2 linked regions of the Lepisosteus oculatus genome follow. The protein of the gene in region 2 binds, or shares a complex with, the protein of the main gene of each other region. Links are inferred from orthologs where the notes say so. Each region holds a gene or a part of one and is shown on either strand. Other genes may lie near its edges. The genes, in order: itgb5 and pak4.

Region 1 (7,246 bases), on a different chromosome or scaffold from region 2:
TCACTAATGGCCCACATACAAAATATTCCACAGTTCATAAAGTATTATTGCTCTCCTAAGCTCACACTTCCGTTACTGAAAATGCTTTGTGAGGTCCATTAGGACTGGAACAAACCTGACCCTACAGCCGAGACCCTGGCTTTCTTCAAGAAACAGCTGGATGAGATCCTGGATTAACCACCCTCTTCGCTGAGATTTTTGCCAAGGGTGTCTCAGCACACCGCGTCTTTATTCTTCGTTTCAGTTTATCATGAGTGACTGAGTCACTAATAGCAGCCTTTGAAAGCTGAAAAAGACACAGGCAGGCCCGGGCCCGGCGTCTTACCAGGCCGCAGGTTCAGGGCTATCTTCTGCGGCATTATCTGAATGACATCATACTGGGTGGGTCCGGAGCCTTTGGAACTTAAGGGCTTGTTCTGCAGGACCATCATGCTGCTCCTGGGACTCTCGATGAAGCCCCTCCCGCAGCCCCTCCCCAGCAGGTTCTGGCTGAAGTCGCAGCGGGACGCGACCGTCATCGCCCTCCCGAATTCCTGTCGAGAAAGACGACACCAGGAGGGTAGCAGCCCTGCGCCGACCGGGTGCTGTGATAAGAGACGCAACAGGGACAGTGACCAGGCCGACGGAGAGAGACTGGAAAGCTCATGGGGGGCCCTTGAGGAAAGTGCAGCACTGAGGCACAGCTCAACTGTGAATCACCCCCGTTCTCTTGAATCTCCACGTACAAGGATATTGTCTCTGCAGACAAAAAGCCAGCGACACTTTGTGTTTATTTTTTTTGTCATGATAGCACTGGGACCCTTTGAATGTTTTAATTGAAAGTAAGCGCGTAGCAGTCACAACATGGAGAAATGCGTTTACCATTCTGCAACAGAAATAGTTCACAAACCCATTCCTGAAATTACTGGTATTTTCCAGTTTATTTGTACACTGTATTAAATAAAACAAAAGTATTTTTCGGCATAAATAGTTGCTTCCACCATTTCCTGAACTGCTTAATTGAGATTTCAGGTGCTTTATAAAGCAGAAACAAAAACGTTTGGGACAGTTAGCTATTAGCTTCTTCTTGCGGAAGAAGACTGGTGGGCACGAGAAAACTGATAAACTAACTGCACACAAGCCATCGCTCTTCGAGTGATGCCTACTACTTCAAATATGTGAAATAATTTATTTAAGGAATTTCACTAACTTAATACTGAGATATCTGTCAGCAGAGAACGACTACTGCTGCACAGGCTCTGCATAGTCCAGGCTCACAGGCGCACTTCACAAGTTAACATGAAAGGTACCCCGAACAACAGCAACAAGCAACAAGCAACAAGCAACGAGCAACAAGCAACAAGCGGGAAACACCAATACCACGTGTTTCACCGCCGCCTGCGGCTTCCGTAGAAGAGTTTCCTAGGGTGAATAAGTTGGGTCAAGATAATATCAAAACCACTACGTAAAACTGGAACACGGGTCTGAAATATCCACAAGAACACAGTACAGAAATATATTTAACTCGAGTAGCATTATTCAAAAATATACTTTCACGTCAGGGCATCGGTCTAAATGAACGTGAACAGGACCGATTCAAAACAAAATATCCAAATTGACAGAACTTTGCCAGTAATTATACGCGTTTGCAGACTGACGTATGAGAAATATGTACAAGAAATATTTTCTCCTAGAAAAAAATGCCTAAAATAAATATTTTGTTTCCTGTGCAACCGGTATTTTAAAACGCAGCTGAGTGATTACTCCCTGAGTGAAGCTATCGGATTAATTTAATCACCGTGTATTATGGGCAGAGCAAAATGTGTATACTGTGTGTATGGTTGAATGGCGAGGACTACTGTTTGTTTTAAAGGTACATTTGTTTGAAGTCGAGTGTTATGTTTTTTTTGTAGTTCTAATGGTGACACCAAAGACAAATTGTCACCCTCTTGGATCAACAATAAAGTGAAATAACTTGGCAACATTTTTTTTTTGCACTACGCGTAAGAGAGATTTACACAGATACCTCCTGAGCGCACCAGGCACAGCTAGGATGGATGAGCAGGCATTCTTCACAGGAGGTAGCGCTTCCTCCGGCGCAAATATTGAGACCTTCCATAGAAATGAGAAAAGCGGTTATCTAACACATACTGTATAAAAATACACAGCACTTTCTCGCGACCACAGTCGAGTCTCCTTGTACCCCGTCCCGTTTCGACACCCATTAGCGCACATCACCAAGAACGGCCTTAGAGCCTTAGTTAAACGAGGGGGTGATGTTAATACCAGCTAATAAATAACGATATAAAAAAAAAAAACAGAAAAGCGCAGGTGCAAAAAGAAAAACAAGGTTTCGACCAGCGATAAAATAATTTTAGTGAAAGTCTGTATAAAGCGTTTAAGTATGACAAAAGAGTAAGCTAAGAGTAACCCCTAACAATACATGCAACAAAGTAATTAAAGGATGTTATTTCCTCTCGAAGAAAATTGAATTCGTTCCAGCACACAGGAAAACAAATTGCCTACACAAACACGACACACAGTCACCAAAAATTGCATTAAAAAAACTCTTACCTTTAACTCCGCCGATCAGAACTTCCAAAACCAAACAGCTAATTACAGAGTAAATTAAGAGCCTTCTCCTCAACATGATTTCTTAGGATTGTGTAAACTGAAGTTATCCAAACCCTGCAGCTGCGAAGTGCTGGCTAGCGCAGACCTCCAACTCGTCAAAATGTCCTCATCAAATCCACATTCTGCAGATTAGCTTTCAAAAAGGGGGAATAAGTCCACTTTGTCGGAGTTCGCCTCTGCCCCGGCCAAGCGACGAGAAATCATAACGCCAACCTTTGTTTTGAAAACAAAGGTTACAAATCGTTGTGTCATCAAAGAAACAACCTCTGGGGCAGGAGCTGCCGGCTAAACAAGGTTTTCCACTCTCATTACGAATATCTCTCCGCTCCAAACACTAGTGTTGGTTCTCCTTAAAAGCGCACAACGCGCCTCCAGTTCCGATATTTTTTCTCCATGTTTCGTTTCTTCTGTACTAAAAATAAACAGGCAGTATAATTCCCCTAGTTGTGATATTATTATTGTTGTTTTCTAAAAGTGGGATACATCCCCCGCTTCTCTCTTTTTTCCTCTCCTGGAAGTTTTCTACGAAAAAGCGCACTGTCGGTGTATCCAAAATCTCCGCCCATCAGAGGCTGGGGGCTGGGGCTGCGGTTAACCCTATCTTCGAGAGCACACTTCAGAAACCTCAGAAGCACGCATTCGCATTTCTAGCGTTCCCCTTGCGCTACAACTGGTTTCGGTGACGGGGTTTTTTTACGTTTAAAAAAATCATACACTCTTTCTGCTTAAAGGCGGACTCGCAAACTGTAATTTATTTTCACTCGAAATAGCTGCACCTAAGTACGGATATCATTACTTATTTAGACAAATACCAGGGTCGTTGTTTCTCGTTTGTTTGGACTTCTTTGTTCTGATGTATATCGGTTTTTTTTTTAGGTTTAAGCTTATTTCGGACATTGTAGCTCGTTTCGTTCTACTTAAATCCGGATTTTGTCGATAAATAGAAATGTTTCTTTAAAAAGCGGCACCTCCGGCAGTCAGGTGACTCGTGTTAATTGGGTTACCACCTGTTCAATTCCGTACACACTTGCCTGCGTGTTGAGTTATGTACATTGTAATCACAGCGCTTGCGAGTTTGTGAATGAGCTGGATTAGGGACAGCAAGGATGTTAATCATAAACAAGTCTGACAATATTTTTCGGCTATAAAATGCGTTTGAAATCCTTCAGACCAGAGCTGTACAGAGCCTTTTAGAAAAGCAGTATATAGAATTCAATTTAAATAATTTAAATTTTATGTTACGTTTTCTTCAGAATTCAGTAAAACCTTAAAAACAATGTACAGGCAATACGCTCGTTACGTGAATATTAATATCAAGCGAACCTTCTTGTTTTGGCATCAAATTTGCTTTTGAAGCCCGAGGGTATGAAAAGCCCTGTATTGTATTTTAGAAAATTAAACAAAGAGAAAAATGCTGAAATAGTAGAAATATTTAAAAACAAAAAAATGAATTCAAGATGATATTTTAAGATGTCCATTTTACCAGCGGAAAGTCCAGAGTTGTCTGCTGAGTTGGCAAGACTCATCTCTCCTGAATACTTGGATGTCAGCGCCGCCTAGTGGGATAGAAGAGTATGAAATTAAAAACTTGAATTTTCCTGGCGGGCTGTGCAGTGTGCCTCACCCTGCCTGTGATGGGGGCTGATTAAATTGCGCTCAGCACGTTGCTGGCGGGGTCAGTCCTGGTTTTGATCCTGTTTGGGCCTAGGGTGTTGGCCTGATTTTCCAACTCATTCCCTACCCGCTCGAACTTCAAGACTGACTACAGTGTACAGACAGTACAGGCAGAAACAGTCACCATTTCATCTTGCAGAGCTGTGGTTTCCACCGGGAGTATTCAGGGACACCTGTAAGCTTCTCAACGTGTTCAGGTGATCCCCAGAAAGGAGGGTGAAATGTTAGCAGTGTGCAAAACCAACAACCAGCTTTCCTTCATGACTTCATACAGTAGACTGACTGACCTGTCACCCTGGTTTGTTGTTTATCATATTGTAACGCATATGGCCGACAGGTACTGTGTAAGAGCCGGCTTACCAGTAATAGCAGGACCACAGCCCCTGGGCTGTAGAGAGATCTCTCTCTTTGGCTCACCGGGCTGGGTCCCTGTTGAGTGACGCAGGAGTCCTGGGTTCGAGCCCCTGACGGTGCAGGGCCAACCTGATACGCCAAGGGCACCCGCCTGAACCCCGTTGTGTTACGATATCTTTTCAAGCAGCATCACTTTTCTTTAATAGCCATATATTATTGATGTGCTTTCAGTTGGCATTGTTGGTCCTTTAGCAGGGACAACTGGTTAAAAACAGGCTTCCCCACCAGCCAATGATCACCAGTCAGCGAGCGTGGGTGTTCACAGATGGTTGTGGTTCACCTGTTTCTGGAGCTCTGGACCACTACATGAAGTGTCAGAAAGACAGGCTGTGCTTTACAAGTCTGCTTCCTCTGTTAGCTAGGAACTGTCACGCAGTAGGCCAGGGGTCCTCCTGCCTGCTGCACATCAGGGATGATGTTTAAAATTGGCCAAACCTCTAGGGAACACCGGTTATTAAGATACTTGGCATGTGGATCGTCCAGACTCATGTTTTGCTGGATCAAAGTAGCGATGCCGTCCTAAAGATTGAATGAAGTGAAAGGGGTGATTTGAAATAGCCCTCCTCTGAAGAAAGTTTAAGATTACAATAATACGCGAGTCACCAGTCATGGTGGTGGACCAGTAGGTGGCGCCAGAAAGGCAACTGGGGACACTGTGCTGTAGAAGCTGACATCCTGTAGGTGAGACAGTAGACTGAGGTGCTGACTACTTTGTCATTATCAATCCCATGACCCCATACGCATTAATTCCAGTGTTCTGGCTAAATTCTGCCTCGAGCTGGAATGTTCTGGCCATCCTAGTAAATCCCTCCATTCAAGTGGAGTAATTTCTCACATCTCCATGTGTCCTGCTGTGCAGTAGGGCTGCCATGTGCCACTCAGATGGGTGCAGCTCTGGTGCACAAAACTGGTCTCCTTCTTATACCGTATATAAAGTGCTGGAGAACATCTGGGATGGAAAGAGCCAAACAAATGGAATTTCTCACATAGAAGAAATGACAAATGATAACAGGTGAATGGCCATCTCTTCACAGGGAGTGTTATAACAGATGACAAAATCCCCTAATTTTATTAACACTTTCACTTCTGACCTACTGTAAATAACAAATGTGGAATATATTTATAATTATTGAAATCATTAAAATATAGATGCTGTGAGATAGATATTATTTTTATTTATATCATTTTATGAAAGTAGTTTAGTATTAACCTCAAACAAACATCTCATTGTGAGAAGCTATTTTTTTACGGACGGTATCGATTATTGCAATAAACTAGAGCTAGATCAATAAAATAAATCAGTGGAGCATTTCTTTTCACTTTGCTCTCAGTTGTGCTGTGCTACCATAATAAAATAATACTCTTAGTACAAAGTTGCTGCCCAATCACTACATTTTGCACATACAGAAAACGTTTTTTGTTTTTCTTGTTATCTTGAATTACAGAACACTCACATGGAAACAAGAAAGAGAACAGATTGTAACACTTTACCCAATCATCTTTGAAAAAGCTTATACTTCAGGACTAATTTTTCATCTCAAGGTCTATGGCAGTAGTTTCATATAATGAATTATTCTAGCAGAATCACTCATATTCCATAACATGTTTCAATGAAGAATTCTCTTTTGTGATTCTGTTGAAGAAATCTAATCTTTGATCACAGCTGAGGTTTCCCTCTATGCAGAACAGCTGCTCTGTATCCTCTATGGCCATAACCATTCCCTGCAGCTCCCCTCGTTGATGTCCTGTTGTAGGGGTCACAGTCATTGGCGCTGCTGTTGTAGGGGTCACGGTCGTTGGACCTGCCGTTGTAGGGCTTACAGTCGTTGGCACTGCTGTTGTAGGGGTTACAGACGTTGGCGCTGCTGTTGTAGGGCTTACAGTCGTTGGCACTGCTGTTGTAGGGGTTACAGTCGTTGGCGCTGCTGTTGTAGGGGTCACGGTCGTTGGCACTGCTGTTGTAGGGGTTGCCAGCAGGCTGAAAAGGAAGATATTTTTGTTAATCAAAAGAAACATCAGCCTGGAAGTGGTGTGCATCTGCTTCAAGGAAAGAAAAGAATAATCTAGACTTTCCCAATTAAAAATGGCATCCAACATGTCCAAAACTGATTTTCCAAAATGTTGGAAAATGAATCCTTAAGAAAATATTTTTGTTTTACAGATTCATTATTCATCCTGCTAGGGCTCACTCTTAAAATTTTAGAACCAGGATCACAAAGAATTAATGAATAATGTGTATTCAGAATAAAAACATAGATCATCCAATTTATGGCTTAAAATATATTAAATGTTTGATGATGTTTTTCATCAGTAGGTACTATTATCCACTCTTTTCCTACCTAAACAGCTCATATCCAAAAAAAGGCCACCAAGCAAACTGCAGAAGAGCCACAAAATAGGGCTAATGTACCATACAAATTCAAAAACAAAACTTACTTTGTAACCAAAATTCTGAGAGCCACCTGGTTTTGAGGGAACAGATGCCTTTGGAAATGAGTAAACATTTCCAGACAGTATACGTCCCTGATCTTGAGGGAAACTCTGA
Region 2 (7,302 bases):
TTATAACCTTTGACCTCTCGACATGAGGCCGGTCGTGTTCCAGGAAGGGAAGGAATGGATCCAAAGGGGAATGGCAGCTCCTTGAGCTTCTTTTCCTTTACTGCTTTGTGCAAAGTGCCTTGAAGTTGACCATGTGAAGAACTAAGGCTGCTACAGTATATAATCCTATATTACACTGTACTGTTTTGAACAGTACACCACAGGCATTCAAGGCCTGATGCCCTCTCTCCCCTCCTGGAGCTGCCCTAGGTATCTTAATGTTATAACCTTTGACCTCTCGACATGAGGCCGGCCGTGTTCCAGGAAAGGAAGGAATGGATCCAAAGGGGAATGGCAGTCATGTCTAACTCAGCCACTCTCAACCAGCAGGCATGTGCCATCCGAAACCCAGATGCAAAACCAATTCAGAGCCAGACCTTCCACTTTGAGAGAAAAAGGAAGCTGAAGGAATTGCTACTGAAGATTATTAAAGCACATGTGACTCGCGTACTGGTCACTTTTATTTGACCACTATTTATTAGTGCACTAACCTCCTCCACTAACCTGAGAGTGCAGCGTGTTGCACTACTGACATTGCTATCCATGTGTTAACTGCCTTTTATGTGGGGAACAGTCACACGAATAACTAGAGAATAACAGAGTGTCTTGTTCCAGAGCGAAATATCCCTTTAGCCTTTATTTTTTTTATTTAGAAAACAAATGTTAAATATCGCCATCCGTCCATTTTCCAACTGCTTCTTCCGATTCACGGCCGCGGGAGAGCCGTGCCTATCCGGCCAAACAACGGGTGCAAAGGCGGGGTACCCCCTGGATGGGACACCAGTCGATCTCAGGCCAAACGCAGGGTTTTTTTTTTCCTCGCTAGAAGCCAATTAGCCTTCCAGAATGTTTTGGGATTGTGGGAGGAAACCGGAGCGCCCAGCATGAGGAGAACACGCCAGCATGAGGAGAACACGCCATCTCCACACAGGCAGCACCCCTGGTCCGGAAGTAAAGCTGGGACACCAGCAATGCAAACCACGGCGCCACCACGCTGTCCTGTTGAGTATCTGATCAGGAAAGTGCCCTTCAGAAAAAGGACAAAGAAGGTAATAATATTTACCTGTGTCTGGGACAACAGATGATTATTTAGAAGAAATTTTGGGGTAGAAGCAATTTAGACGTGAAGGACAGGTGTTTCAGGGAAGGGACATGTCAGGCGAGGAAGAGGATAAATAATGGCAAATGTGCTCATTGGGATTGCTGAACCCTCTGTCAATTTCTGCGCTGCTCCCTTGTTCATCAGTGATGCGGTTTTCTCGCTTTTACACGAAGTGATCAAATGAAACCTTTGAAGGTCAGCACTTAGCTTCACGGAGCGGCTTGACAGACAAACCTTAAACAACCCTGATCTCAAAACAACCTCACACACCCATATCTGTTTCCGCTGGCAGCTTTCTCCCAAAGAGTCTTATCAGTGAATTGTAAATCGTTATTGGGAACCAGCACGATGCAGACCGCACCGATCGATACCGTTAAATTACAAACAACAACAGCGACACTTTATTAAAATACCGGCGGTAGAATTACGATCCCAATCACTTATTAAAAAAAAAGCAGCAGTGTAATTGGAAGCACAGAAATTAAAAAGATAAACCCGAATGTAAGAGTCAACAGGTGGTCCATCACCAATGCGCCAAGAGCCTGCGATTTCATTTCTAAGAAATAAGGAAAGGCATTTCTGGGGGCGGCAGGTTTCTTCACAGGGAGGTGTCAAGTCCTGCACGTTACCAATATATCGCACATTTGCAGTCACATGATTTGCTGTGCCTCGGTTTCCCCTCTCCGCCTCACACCCTCATGTTCTCCCAACTTTCACAAGGGACGCCGCACACGACCACCCAGCCGGAGTGGACGGGGTGTCGGCGCCCCGCGGCACGATTACTCTGTATCAGCAGCGGCTACTGCGCCGCACGACAGTATTTATTACATACGATTTACACACACATATATATATACACACACAGTAGTCGTTTCTGCCGTAAGACGGGCACTAAATGCGCGCTGTGGTGTACGTGGAGATCAGCACTCGCCCAGGAGTATCACATGAACATTTCCCAAGTACAGCAGATGTCTTGATATGGTCCAATAATGGCTGCAAAAGGACTCGAAACACAGGACGGTATGTTGAATTGATCCAACATGAATCCGCTGCCGGAAAGTGGAGCAAACTGCATTTCTTCCCCGTATACTGCAGCTCATAATGATAAGTCACGCTGATAATAATCGTGTTTGGACTCGCGGAGTGTGCCATGCTGTAGGTCCACTTCAGAGAACTGCCCAACACATCGATCCAAACGCAGCCTGACCTGGACGAGTGACCACGACAGCCAGGTCTTGCGGTGTGCTCCGGTTTGATTTTTGTTTGTTTTGAAAACGATTGGGAAAAAAACAAACCACGACCGGACTTGCACAGATTTTCAGATACATTCCTAAATAGGTCAACGGTTTCGGTTTTCGCCGAAAGAAGGGCGAATAATCCACTAAAATTTAAAAACAAAACAACCTCCGATACTTGGACACGACCTAGCTCTTGAGCCACACCGCAAGTTTTCACAAATGACAAAGTAGAAACTGTAGATAGCCACGACTGAACTCCACTGACCCTTTCACAAAAGATACAAAAAATAATAAAATATAAAGCCAAACAATGTATGAAGTTTATATCGTTTCCTACCTGGGTGTTTCCTTGGTGTCTCCCGTTCTAAAGCAACTCCGAAAAACCCCAGCGAGTTTCTCTCTCTGCTGTTATTGATTATATCCTATTCCGTAGATCCCCAGCCGCGACCTCACTTTCTCGTCGCCATGTTGGGACAGGGATCGCAATATCCGGGACATTGGAGTCACTCCAGCTCCATAGCAACCAGCGTAGGAACTGAGCCCCTAGCAACCGCGGACTGACTGCTGGACAGTACAGGAGCCAGAGTCTCCGGACTTCAGTTTTGTCTCAGTAACGGACCCTTAAAATCGCCTCTGCCGCATTCGGTTTCGCTCCTTGTTATAGTCTAAATATAACATACTCTCCACCAGAAGCTGTTTTCCGAAGATGTAAAATGTAATTATGTCGCCGAAAGGGATTCGCCCTAAGATGATGAGATAGTTAATTGACAATATGTTAATTGCCTGCCAAGTCGATCGGATCTTTATCGTATTATGTTGGAGTCTAATGTGTGCAGTTTATGCTGCGGGCAAAAAAAACAACTGCAGGATTCCAGGAAAAAAAATATTTACCGCAAGATTGTGTGTGTCTGAATTAAATCAATCAGCTTTGCTGTTGTAAAGGGTACCTGCCTAAGGAGAAACTAAATCTTGAGAGCCGTGGGTGATAAAACTAACAAGTCTTCGTTAGAAAGCACGCCACCAGTAAGCAACGAATGAGCCTAACATGGACATAATAGTCATCATGTGACATCGGTAGAAGAGAAAAGGTCACGTTGGAGGAAAACCAGACCATACCTCAGAGTCTGGCTGTGTGTGTGTGTAGGGGTCTGTTCAGGATTCATTTAAAAGAAGATGGCTCTAAAATTACTTCATGTCTGAAACCTGCTGCACAATCGTGCTGAAAACATTGATCTGAGAATCAAATCGAGGCCAAATCGACAGCTCCAGACATTCACAGGGGTGGGGCTCATTTTAAATATCTAAGTGCTCCTGACTGCTAAGGTCATCGCACAATTCAGTGAATTACATGAATGGGCTTTTGTGTTCTGAGCCTAAAACATGTTTTCTTGAAGATGATATCCACACATCCTACATCTAACTGCTTTATCCAATACAGGGTGCCAGGGGAGCCAGAGACAATCCCTGCGATCAATGGGCACAAGGCAGGGCACACCCTGGGCAGGATGCCAGTCCATCAGAGGGCAGACACACACACAGACAACCCACACTTGCACCAGGGCCAATTTTACCAGAAGCCAGTTAACCTACTTAATTAAATTGGGGTTAAGATCTTACCATAACATCTTTGGACTGTGCACTGAACCAGAGAACCCAGCAGAAACCCATGCAAACACAGGTAGAACACACAACCCTAACCCCTAACCCCTCAAAGGGTTAAAAAGGGTTTTTCATTTGGTAGAAAAGCTAGTTTTTCATTGAGTGGGTGGTGTGATGTGTTCTCTTGCCAGGGGGATAAAATAAATGCAAATGATCTTTGAATGAATATTCGATGAATGTATTTAATATGCAACAGGATCTAGCATCGTCTGGAATGTGAATAGCTTGGAAACTAATATGCTTCCAACTTCAACCTATTTTATGTGAGGATGTGTGTTGCTAAGGATATGTATTCTGCAGAGAGTTTGTCACTTCTGTAGGAGTTCTCAGCTAGAAAATGGCAAGACAAAGTTCAATAATGCAGTGAAAGTGAAAAAGACATTTGCTCTGACTGCATCTGCTGAAAATGACAAGCAACACAACTGCAGGTTTTCAATATATCAGGTAACAGGAGATGGGAACAGCAGTAGTACGATACTGAAGGAGACGGATGTCAAAAATCGTTATTAATGGTAGCAGAAGCTCCTCTGTCTCGAAAATGACAACAAATCCAGGTGAAAACGCAATCAAATACCGAACGCTTAGTGTCACCCACCCAGATTAGGCTGGGGAAGGACATACTCAATGACAGGACGTTGTCCATAAACAGATTAGAACACACTTTCAAATTCAGTTTTCACATAAGGAAGTAAGAGGACGCTAAGTGGCCCATCTGGCCTGTTTGGGAGTTAGTAGCTAATTGATCCAAGGATCTCATCCAGTCATTGCTTGAAAGAAGCCAGGGGGTATCAGCCTCAACAGTATAGCTAGGTATCTTGTTTCATACTCCCACAACCCTTTGTATAAAGAAGGGCCTCCTGTTCTCAGTTTAAAATGCACGTCTATGTCATTGCATTGTGTCTCCTCTGGGTTGTGTCAAATTTGCTTGGAATGTAAAAAAAACCAACAACACTCATTTGGATCGAGAGATGCTGGTGAAACAAGAATATTGAAGGCGGGGTCCTCGGCTATACTGTTAATTTTCAGCTGTTTCAAATAGCTGAAGGGGTAATGGGATATACAAAAGGGAAAATAACTGGGCAAAGGCAAGAGAAAGGCTACTGCCTGCTGTACATGAGGAAATCAATACAGATGCATTCAGAACACAACCCCCAGGGCAGCCAGCGTGACTGCCTAACTATGGCAGTCTGAGGCTGTCATCTGTGAAATTACAGCTCAGCTCAATAAATAAAATGTTTTTTTCAGTTTATTTAACCCCCAACACTACAAACATATTAAAACATGCTCATATACCTGTTTTTAAAAAAGTATTTTCTTTGTTTCTTGGAAAATATCCTTGCTGGATAACTTAAAAACGAAATAAAATTCTATCTTATTTATAGTACCCAACATATGCATGCCAGATCTGTATGCATGCAAGTACAGCAGTCTGTGTACTGAATGCATTTTTGTGTTTAGGCTAAACAAAGTCAATGTTTCTTGTCTCCGTTTGATCTCCTGTCTTCAGAGGAGCACTGCAACTCTCCATGATGAAGATTGCTGACAAACAGTAACATCCCACCTGATACTGAACCACCATCATCATGCCCTTAATGTGGAAGAGCCCAACACTCAACAGCCACCTATCAAGAGACTGAAAACCATCAGACTCCCTTCCCTGAAGACTTAGGAACAACAAGAACTGAATTTCTTTAGTCTTGAAAAGAGAAGACTGTGAGGGAACCTGATTTAAGTGTTTAAAATCCTCAAAGTCACCAGTAAGGTTAACCCAGAGGATTTCTGTAGAGGGAACCTGAGGACACAAGGGAAACCTATATGTAAGTGAATTTAAAACAGAAAACAGGCGGCACTTCTTTACGCAAACAGTTGTGGAGGTATGGAGCAAGTTATCCAACCGTGGTGCTAAAGCCCAAAACCCGGCTTGCTTTCTTTGCATCTCTTTAAGGTCTTCAGAGCTTAGCAGAGATACACCAACTGTAGAATACATTTGGGAAAACATTGGTTTGAAACAGCTATTGTCATTTATGATGTCCACCAAACGAGAAGTGTTTTAAATGGTGAATTCAACACAATTTGAAAAGGGACCAGTTTATCCCACTGTATTCCAGGTGCAGTCGATGCCAGTGCAGCACTCTGTGGGGCAGAAAGCAGAGACGTCATCTTCTGTGAAAGACATGACAGTAAGAGCAGAGGTACGACCGTAGAGAAGCAGGGAGGAAAAAGACAAGCACCCCTAGAGATGCACACTGCTTGCACAACAGGAACTGCACTCAGTGGGTAAATGTCAGCATCGATCGGAGATTATGATCATGCATGCACTGCTACTTCCCTAGCCATTGTCAAAAAAAGCGGTAGACAAAGATGACGTGGGCTCCTAAGAGGCTCCATCAGTAAAGGCTGTGACAGAGTGCAAACTGAGGACCAAGGCCCTGACGTTTCATGTGTGAGCCGGGTCACTGCGGAAGCCAGCTCAGGGTTTCCCCGAAGGGTGGCAGGTTAGGGTGGGTGTGGCTCAGCCACGGTCCAGTCGACTCTGTGAACTGCAGGGCGTCTCCCTGAGAGAGGCACCTCTTCTCAGGCCTGGACTAGCTCTCCTGCTGGCACTGTGGAGCTCACAGCGTGCCAAATGGTGAATGCGTGTCAGAGAAAAAAAAGGGCACACGAATGAAATCGTAGAAAGAAGGCAGAGTCTCAATGCAACTGACAGTGCCAAACTGCCAGGATGTATAATCGACCTAGTCACACAGAGAGCTGCTTGCCTTGATGGGTCATAGGAAGCCAAAGACTATCCTGGAAGCACAGGGCAAATTTAGAAAAATCCATATCCATATGCCTGGAGGTGAGAAGACACCCAAACACCCAGAAGAAGACCATGTGAGCACTAGTGGAACATGCACACTCCACACAGACGCCACAGCAACCCAGGACCAGCCCCAGAGTCCAACAGCGGTGAGGCTGCAGTGCTAACTGCCTGCCACGCCACTGTGCGACCCAGGGCACGCAATAAAAGAAAAGGCTCATCTGCAATTCCAAAAAAAAAAAACTCCTTAAACAATCAGATCCTGCATGGGTTAACTGAGCACAACTGGTGGCCCTGCTGGGACCGCTGTGGGCTCCTGGTGTCGGCTGCTGGGGCTCAGCCGCGCCAGGGCGGGCACGGCGCTAAAGCCCTCGTCCGCCGGGGCTCCCCTGCAAGCCCGCCCTGCCTGGCGGCACGCGTCGCCATGGCAACCCCAGCGAAGCAACCTCTCCGCAGCCGCCTGA

The links.
Region 1: the proteins of pak4 (region 2) and itgb5 are in contact, whole or in part, in a crystal structure (PDB 7S46), measured with the Homo sapiens proteins. The link is inferred for Lepisosteus oculatus from reciprocal best matches to the Homo sapiens genes PAK4 and ITGB5. Residues at the interface, in NP_001014831.1 of Homo sapiens: Gly330, Ser331, Gln358, Arg359, Leu362, Thr404, Lys442, Ser443, Asp444, Asp458, Phe461, Leu475, Val476, Gly477, Thr478, Pro479, Tyr480, Trp481, Met482, Glu507, Glu512, Phe516, Asn517, Glu518, Pro519, Pro520, Met524; in NP_002204.2 of Homo sapiens: Ser762, Arg763, Ala764, Arg765, Tyr766, Glu767, Met768, Ala769, Ser770.

Annotation. Positions count from the first base shown.
Region 1 is NC_090707.1:5,076,578-5,083,823, forward strand, and holds the start of itgb5 (integrin beta-5), read right to left. Parts: upstream 3,166-7,246; 5' UTR 2,630-3,165; coding exon 2,554-2,629; intron 2,092-2,553; coding exon 2,006-2,091; intron 534-2,005; coding exon 326-533; intron 1-325. Other genes in the region: uncharacterized protein, read right to left, coding at 6,359-6,679, 7,138-7,246.
Region 2 is NC_090698.1:5,422,690-5,429,991, reverse strand, and holds the start of pak4 (serine/threonine-protein kinase PAK 4), read right to left. Parts: upstream 3,335-7,302; 5' UTR 2,717-3,334; intron 1-2,716. UniProt on the Homo sapiens protein: Serine/threonine-protein kinase that plays a role in a variety of different signaling pathways including cytoskeleton regulation, cell adhesion turnover, cell migration, growth, proliferation or cell survival.